2 linked regions of the Oryza sativa Japonica Group genome follow. Each later gene encodes a partner of the first gene's protein in a complex. Links are inferred from orthologs where the notes say so. Each region holds a gene or a part of one and is shown in the gene's direction. Other genes may lie near its edges. The genes, in order: carbon catabolite repressor protein 4 homolog 4 and probable CCR4-associated factor 1 homolog 11.

Region 1 (4,313 bases):
AAACAACACACCACATCTACACTACCTCCAGCATACTAACCCAAATAATTTTATTTTATTTGTTTGTCTAATCCCCTCTTTCTTTCATCTCCTTGGGGTTTGTGTCATTGTGGGGAGGTTGCCCCTTGCATGAGGGGTGACTCACCTTCTCTTTCTTCACTTATTTTTTCCACCTCATATCTAATCATATATAGTATTTTTAGGGGCAACATATTAAGCATTAGAGTACTTGCTCTTAGGCTGTGTTCGGGAGGTGAGGTTAAGAACAAAGCGGCACATTTTCTTATGATTAATTAAGTAATTACTTTTTTTAAAAAAATGGATTAATATTATTTTTTAAAACAAGAAACTTTTTGTAAAAAAAAATTATTTAGCAATTTAAAAAATATGTTTGTGGAATACGAGAGAGATGAGTTGGAAACCCAAACGGTCGAACACAGCCAGTGGAACTGGTTATCCATTATTAAGGTTTCTCGAGTTTAAGAAAAAGAACATTAGGATCCACCATTGCCCATGTCAAAATCCAAAACAAAAAGTGATACCCTTTGACATAACAAAGTTATGTGTTTGTCTGGATATACTTATACTGTAAATTAAACTTTCGGCTCAAAATCTCATACGTTGTATACTACAAAACAAAATCATTGACAAAGCTTAATGTAAATCGAAACAATCGTGTCCTAAATTACTAACATCACAGTTTAACTGAGTGATAAATAGATAATAGTCAAAGGGAAAAGGGAAATTATTTGTATGGATGAGTTAAATACTACTCCCTCCATTTCTAAATATTTGACACAGTTAAATTTTAAGCACATGTTTGACTATTCGTCTTATTAAAAACTTCTGTAAAATATGTAAAACAATATGTCTACATATAAGTATATTTAACAATGAATTAGATAATAGAAAAAGAATTAATAATTACTTAAATTTTTTAATAAGACAAACGGTCAACATATTTGAAAAAGTCAACGATGTCAAATATTTAGTAACGGAGGGAATATTACTTATGTATAAAAAGTTTTTTAAAAATCACCCTTTTGAAAACGCAGCATGAATAATTCATTACCTGTTTATAATGTGTCCTGACTGACTCGATAACTTATGGTGGTAGCAAGCACATTCCAATCCGACTAGAGTTAAAAGTGCCGACGAAAACATAATTTGGCTGAAATCCCTTTTCTTATCCCATCCGTGGCCATCTCTGAAAAGGAAAAGGAAAAAAAAAGAAAAGAAAAGGGTATTACTTCAAATATACTGTACACCGGCGCTTCTCACCGACAGATCGGGCCCAGTTATCAGGTTTGAATCAAAACGCTTGAGCGGTGGAGCCACAGCCGTACAGCCGTCGGCGGCGGCGGCGGCGGCGCGACCATCTCCTCGCGGCCAGATGCGCGTGTTCCGGCGCCGGAGAGCCCAACGAATCCGCCGATGCTAAAGCTCCAAGCTTCCCTCCCTCTCTTCCGCCTCCGTCCCCGCCCCAGCTCCCCTCCTCCCTGCGGCCCCCGTCTCCCCTTCGTCCCGTAAGCACACGCTGATCCCCGATTCCAAACCCCTTCCCCCCCTTTCTACTGTTCTAATGGATCGTGACACCGACGAGTCAGAATTTGCAAGCGGCGGATGAGCACCCAGGCGCAGCCCAGTTTCGCCCCTCTCCCCACGGCGCAATCCGAATCCGATGCAGGTTGTGTTTTTTCTTTTCTTGGTCAATCTTAAGAAGCGAGTAATACGATTTTGATTGGTGGTTGATTGCTAGTATTACTTGCAAATCGCGCAGGCCCAGGGTAATTTGTATTAAAACTGTTTTAGTGTTTGGGTTACAGGGGCAGCTGGGTACCAGTTCCGGCTGGTTTCCTACAACATCTTGGCCCAGGTAGGCTGGCAATATGCTGTTTTGTTCTGTTGAGCTGCTTATGGTTCGGTATTTTCTTTGGTGACGATGAGTGGATTACAGTATTCACAGAGGAAAGAAAACTAGCTGCATCTAACTATTTGATCTGTGTTGCAGGTTTATGTGAAGAGTGCGTTTTTCCCGCATTCTCCATCTGCCTGTCTCAAGTAAGCTCTTGACTGACAAGCTTCTTCCTAGAATTCTTTTGGGTTTCAATATTTTCTTGCGACCACTTTAGTGATTCTACTAAGCATTAGAGCAGTGGCAACACACTGCGGTGAATGCCAAATAATTTACTATGAAAGAAAGACATTACATAAATACTATGTTTTGTGTGCATTGCACATTGGTTCCCAACTAGCAGCAATGAGCGCAGCCTTAGTAGCATTCAGGTTGTACGAATAGATTTATTTGTCAACAGTAAGCTTTACGATATGATGTTTGTACATTTATATTTTCGGACAAACTTGAGTTCCATTCTCAGTTCTCACCATGAGTAGACCCAGCCCAAGAACAAAGTATAAAACTATCAAAGGATTGGTGCATCAGTGTGCTAGTTTCGTTTTGTGACTGTAAACAATTTTCCATTTCTGTTCTAGTCCCTGCTCTTCAATCATTCATTTGTGGACTGTATGCTTCCCCTCATGTTTGAGAAACAGGTGGAAAACTCGGTCTAAAGCTGTTCTATCAGAACTCAAGAGCTTCGAAGCTGACCTCATGTGCATACAGGTTGGACAGACTTATGACTTTTTAAGCAACTCATTTTTTTCATGTGGTCATGTACTTGTCATTGATAAATATAGAATGTGAACGTTTTTAAATCATATTATATCCTTATTTGGTTCTATATATGGTTTATGTAACATTCCCCAAGTTTGTATTTAGTGGATTGAAAAATACCCTCCAAGAAAAAACTGCAACATTGATTGGATCCTAGGATAAAGGGAGCATTAATCCCAAGTTCTCAACGTGACAGATTGGAACCTGATACACAAGGTTCCTAGTGCCAAAACACAACACAATGGTGGATAGTAGAAAGTTTTGGCTATTACTGTTTCTCAAAAAAATTATGTAGTCTTCCTCCATTATGCCCAACACAAATTAATTAGTGTTCTACTCATTCAGAAATAAATATTGGGAGGGTTACATATTACATATGATTGTATTGTTTCAATATTTAGTCATGACCTATATTAATGTGTACTTTTGACCCTTTTTTTTCTTCTTTGGAATATTTTTGTCTGCTTTTTTCGTTCTTTGGAACATTTTTGTCTGCTTATTTTTAATATGTGGTTTGCTCAGGAGTTGGATGAGTATGATACCTTCTACAAGAAAAACATGGAGAATTCTGGATATTCAAGTATTTACATTCAACGATCTGGGGACAAACGGGATGGATGTGGCATATTCTATAAACCAAAAAGGTATCCATATTGTTTCAAATAAGTGATGATTAACAATGAGAAGACAAGAATGGAAATTATAGTATGCATGAATGTTTCGATTGACTTGCAAATTAACTTCTCAATATCCCCCTTTTGGGCTATTCTTACTTTTACAGCATGGAACTGGTCCAGAAGGAAGTACTACATTACAATGATTTAGTGGAAAAATATGTTCATACTGATCATGTAAATAGTGATACATCAAATAATTCTTCACCAACAGAAGGTAATGGATCAGCTGCTCAACTTGATATTATCCTGTGAATCATAATGACTTCTTTCATTGGAGGCGACAAAAGGTAAAGTAGTGAGCCAGGCTAAACAAACTACTTACAAGTTACAACATACAAACTATTCTGTCATATCTTGAAAACAAAGAAAGTAGACAAATATTCAAACTCCACATCCAAACTCATGAAGTACAAATTCTTTGGGCCTCCACTATTATGATTCTACCTTTGGACCTTTATCATTAATCATATTCTAGCTAGGACATAGATTTGTCCAATTGCATTCCGTACTTATTTTATGTCTGCTGTATCTGTGGCTAGTATGATGCTCTACCTAAGTTAATTGGGTTAATTCAGTATTATGCTCTTTCAGAAGCAAGCAAGAAGGTGGATAATAACAAGCATGGAGATCCAAATGATCCACGTTTCAGATTGAAACGTGACTGTGTTGGTTTACTTGCCGCTTTCAAGCTTAATGATCCTTGTGATCATATTTTAATTATGGCGAACACACATATTTATTGGCAAGTAAAATGGCCAGAGTTCTCTATTATTCTCGTTTTGAAGATGTTTTTTAAGCCATCTGTCTGTTTTATTTTGTATATCTGTATTGGATCCCCTGTTCATACTATTCTGATTTTGTAGGGATCCTGAATGGATTGATGTAAAATTGGCTCAAGCAAAGTATATTCTTTCAAGAGTTACTCAGTTTGAGAAACTTATCTCGAATAAATTTAACTGTAA
Region 2 (3,338 bases), on another chromosome or scaffold:
AATCCTCTGTTTTACAATTATATTCATATCAGAATCCTGTGTTTTTTCTATTCCTCGGTTTTTTTCATTCATACGATTCAAAGTGCCATAATCAGAAATAATGCAAGGTAATCCTTCCGATACTGTCTACCAACCACGGAAGACGCGGATGCATAAGTGGGAGTAGTGTAGAAGGACCGGCCAGGAGGAAGAAGACTCACCAAACGCGAACGCCGACGACCGGCTGGCTATTTCGTTGAACACTAGCACACGCAAGGAACGGAATATACTCCTCCAAGTGTTTCGCATGGACGGTCAAGTCAATTCCGGAGGCCTGCAGCGGCATCTGCCCCCCCCCCCCCCCCCCCCCCCAATCCCATTCGATTCTCTTCAGCCGCCGCCGCACCGCAGCTCGCCCCGCGCCGCTGGCTAGGAAAAAACAAAAAAACGAGTCGGCTCACCTCACACGCACGGCGCACGGGCCGGGCAGCGTGTGGCCCGCGACGACCGCGACCGCGAAAGCAGCAACCTGCGGATGGAGCAGCGGCTAGCGCTTGGCGTGAGACAGCGGCGAGGTTCCCTTCCCTCCCTCGTCCCAGTTGCGGTTTTGGTTTTCCAGCAAAGCACAGCACAGCTGCACGTACAGGTACAGGGATGGGGGAAGAAAAACGTGTACTAGATGGCCACCGCCAAAGTGAGAGCGACGGTGCGGTGCCTGCACACTAGTGTACGGCCTACCGGACTACCGGTGGACTACCGAACGCACGCATACGGGAGGGAGGAGTCGGGGACCGGGTCGTTGCTGCTCCTCGGTCGGTCAGCCTCAGCCTCATGAGTGATGATGACTAGTCTACTGGAGTAGTACTAGTGGCCTCGCCAAGCTCCATTGGTTTTGTTTTGCAACTTCACCACGTCGGCAATTACCGCAACAAGCCGACCTAACGGAGGGGGTGGGAACATGTATGCACCGAACCTGGTGCATGTCCACGTTCAGCGTACTACCTCTCAACTTGGAGCATCTCTGCTTATTAGTGCTCTGTTTTGGCCGGGGTGCACTGCACCCAAATACCAACTAGCACCACCAGAAATGTGTCCTCCCTATACTTTATACTCTACCAGCCGACTAGAGTATACTAGCACTACTCCTACTTTATCCGTTTCACAATATAGACAATGCTAGAAAGTCTTACATTATAAAACATAGGGATTATATAATTATAAATGAAAAAAATTACTAATAAAATATTAGTACAGAATTCCGAATGCGTACGTACGGTATCGCACATCCGCTGCAGCAGCTGCGGAATTAAACAAACCGGGAATGCGTCCACCTCCCTTGAACTCAATCCAAATAAATAATAATAAAAAAGAAACCCACAATTCCGGGCAGATGCCTCTGTGTCTGCAACACGGTCAATCCACGCGCGCCCCTAACCCCAATCATTAACCCCGTATGTTAACGCACGCCATAAACGCAGACGCACGGCCACCGTCCGTTCCTCTATGCGCACAAATCTCAAAGCTCCCCACGCCGCTTTCCCCTCACGCTCCTGCCGCCTTCCGCGAATGGATGCGCCGGTGGACTCCTATAAAACGCAAGCTCTCACTCGCCGCAGTCCAAACAGGCAAACGCACTCGCATCTCCAATTCGGTCCGAATTTTTCCAAATTCCAATTGCTCATCGCGCTTCGAATTCGTTGCCGAGATCCATCCAATCTTTGAGTTAAGACATGCCGTCAGAGTTCGTCGCCGCCAGGAAGAAGCCGCCGCCGGAGTTGTTGTTCGCCGCCGGTCGGAAGAAGCAGCAGCCGCCGCCGCCTGGCATGGCGTTCGTGCCGTCGGAGTTCGCCGCCGCCGGCGTTGGCAGGAAGAGGCAGCCTGCGCCGCCGGTGGAGATACGCCGGGTGTGGGCGCACAACGTGGAGGAGGAATTCCGGATCATCCGCAACGCGATCGATCACTTCCCGTACGTGTCCATGGACACGGAGTTTCCCGGCGTGATCCACCGCCCGACCAAGCACCCCGCCCTGCTCACCGCCGGCGACCGGTACGACCTCCTCCGCCGCAACGTGGACGCGCTCCACCTCATCCAGGTGGGCATCACCCTCGCCGCGTCCCCCACCGCGGCGCCCGCGCTCGCCTTCGAGATCAACCTCTCCGACTTCGACCAGCGCGTCCACCGCCACGCCGCCGAGTCCGTCCAGCTGCTGGCGGAGCACGGCGTGGACCTCGCCGCGCACCGCAGGCACGGCGTCAGGGCGAGCGCGCTGGCGCCGCTGCTCATGTCGTCGGGCCTCGTCTGCTCCCACGGCGCCGTCAAGTGGGTCACCTTCCACTCCGCCTACGACTTCGCCTACCTGGTCAAGCTCCTCATGGGGCGGAAGCTGCCGAGGTCCATGGCCGAGTTCCTGAACCTGGTGCGCGTCTTCTTCGGCGACGAGGTGTACGACGTGAAGCACATGATGCGGCACTGCGGCGGCGAGCTGTACGGCGGGCTGGAGCGCGTGGCGGCGGCGCTGCAGGTGAAGCGCGCGGCGGGGCGGTGCCACCAGGCCGCCTCCGACAGCTTGCTCACCTGGGACGTCTTCCGGCGGATGCGGGAGCTCTACTTCCTCAAGCATGGCGTCGAGGCCTACCAAGGCGTGCTCTTCGGCCTGGAGCTCGACATGGACATGCCCAGCAACAAAACACCCTCGCTGCCGCTGGTGGCAGCGAGATGATACGATCTCCTCTCCTCCGCTGTAAAATTTGTTGATTCGTCGTCTGCAAGAAAGGATTTCTTTCGGCAGATGTACAGTAATAATAAGAGGGAAAAAAAGATGGTTTAATTGATTGGTTAAATTCGGTTGATTTTCTCGTGTGGTGGTTTAAACTTTCACCGTTAAAAAATTGGGCGGCTTCCCCTGTTGTTTGTCATGATGAAACGGCTATAGAGAAAAACGCGTCGTATGAACAAAAAGGCAAAAAAGGCCATGCGCACCGTGTGCAGCGCAGCGAATCGCGTCGCATGTTGGGAGTCAAACGAGCAGCGCGTGTCATTCGGTCAAAGTGCATACTAGTGTACTATGGTCGGCCGGGTTTAGTTCCAAATTTTTCAACAAGTTTTTAACTTTTTCATCGTATCAAAATTTTCCTATATAAAATTTTTTAATTTTTTCATCACATCGTTTCAATTTCAATTAAATTTTTAATTTTAGCGTGAACTAAACACACCTATGCATGAAGAAGGAAAAAAAAAAGGCTACAGTAGTCCTGAACTTATGATGAATGAAACGGTGAGATTGACTCGTTTTAAGGTCAGACGATGAGTGTGAGTTCAGGGTGCTAGTTCATGCGTGGCATGCTAGTTTCGTTCAGTT

What was found.
Region 2: carbon catabolite repressor protein 4 homolog 4 (region 1) and probable CCR4-associated factor 1 homolog 11 share a complex: the UniProt entries of both Arabidopsis thaliana proteins name them as parts of the CCR4-NOT complex. The link is inferred for Oryza sativa Japonica Group from reciprocal best matches to the Arabidopsis thaliana genes AT1G31500 and CAF1b.

What each region holds. Positions count from the first base shown.
Region 1 is NC_089039.1:18,948,364-18,952,676, reverse strand, and holds the start of carbon catabolite repressor protein 4 homolog 4, read left to right. Parts: upstream 1-1,282; 5' UTR 1,283-1,434; coding exon 1,435-1,526; intron 1,527-1,607; coding exon 1,608-1,687; intron 1,688-1,826; coding exon 1,827-1,876; intron 1,877-2,011; coding exon 2,012-2,061; intron 2,062-2,553; coding exon 2,554-2,623; intron 2,624-3,196; coding exon 3,197-3,318; intron 3,319-3,455; coding exon 3,456-3,565; intron 3,566-3,942; coding exon 3,943-4,093; intron 4,094-4,214; coding exon 4,215-4,313. UniProt on the Arabidopsis thaliana protein: Acts as a catalytic component of the CCR4-NOT core complex, which in the nucleus seems to be a general transcription factor, and in the cytoplasm the major mRNA deadenylase involved in mRNA turnover.
Region 2 is NC_089038.1:35,499,096-35,502,433, forward strand, and holds probable CCR4-associated factor 1 homolog 11, read left to right. Parts: upstream 1-1,598; 5' UTR 1,599-1,709; coding exon 1,710-2,699; 3' UTR 2,700-2,820; downstream 2,821-3,338. UniProt on the Arabidopsis thaliana protein: Ubiquitous transcription factor required for a diverse set of processes. It is a component of the CCR4 complex involved in the control of gene expression.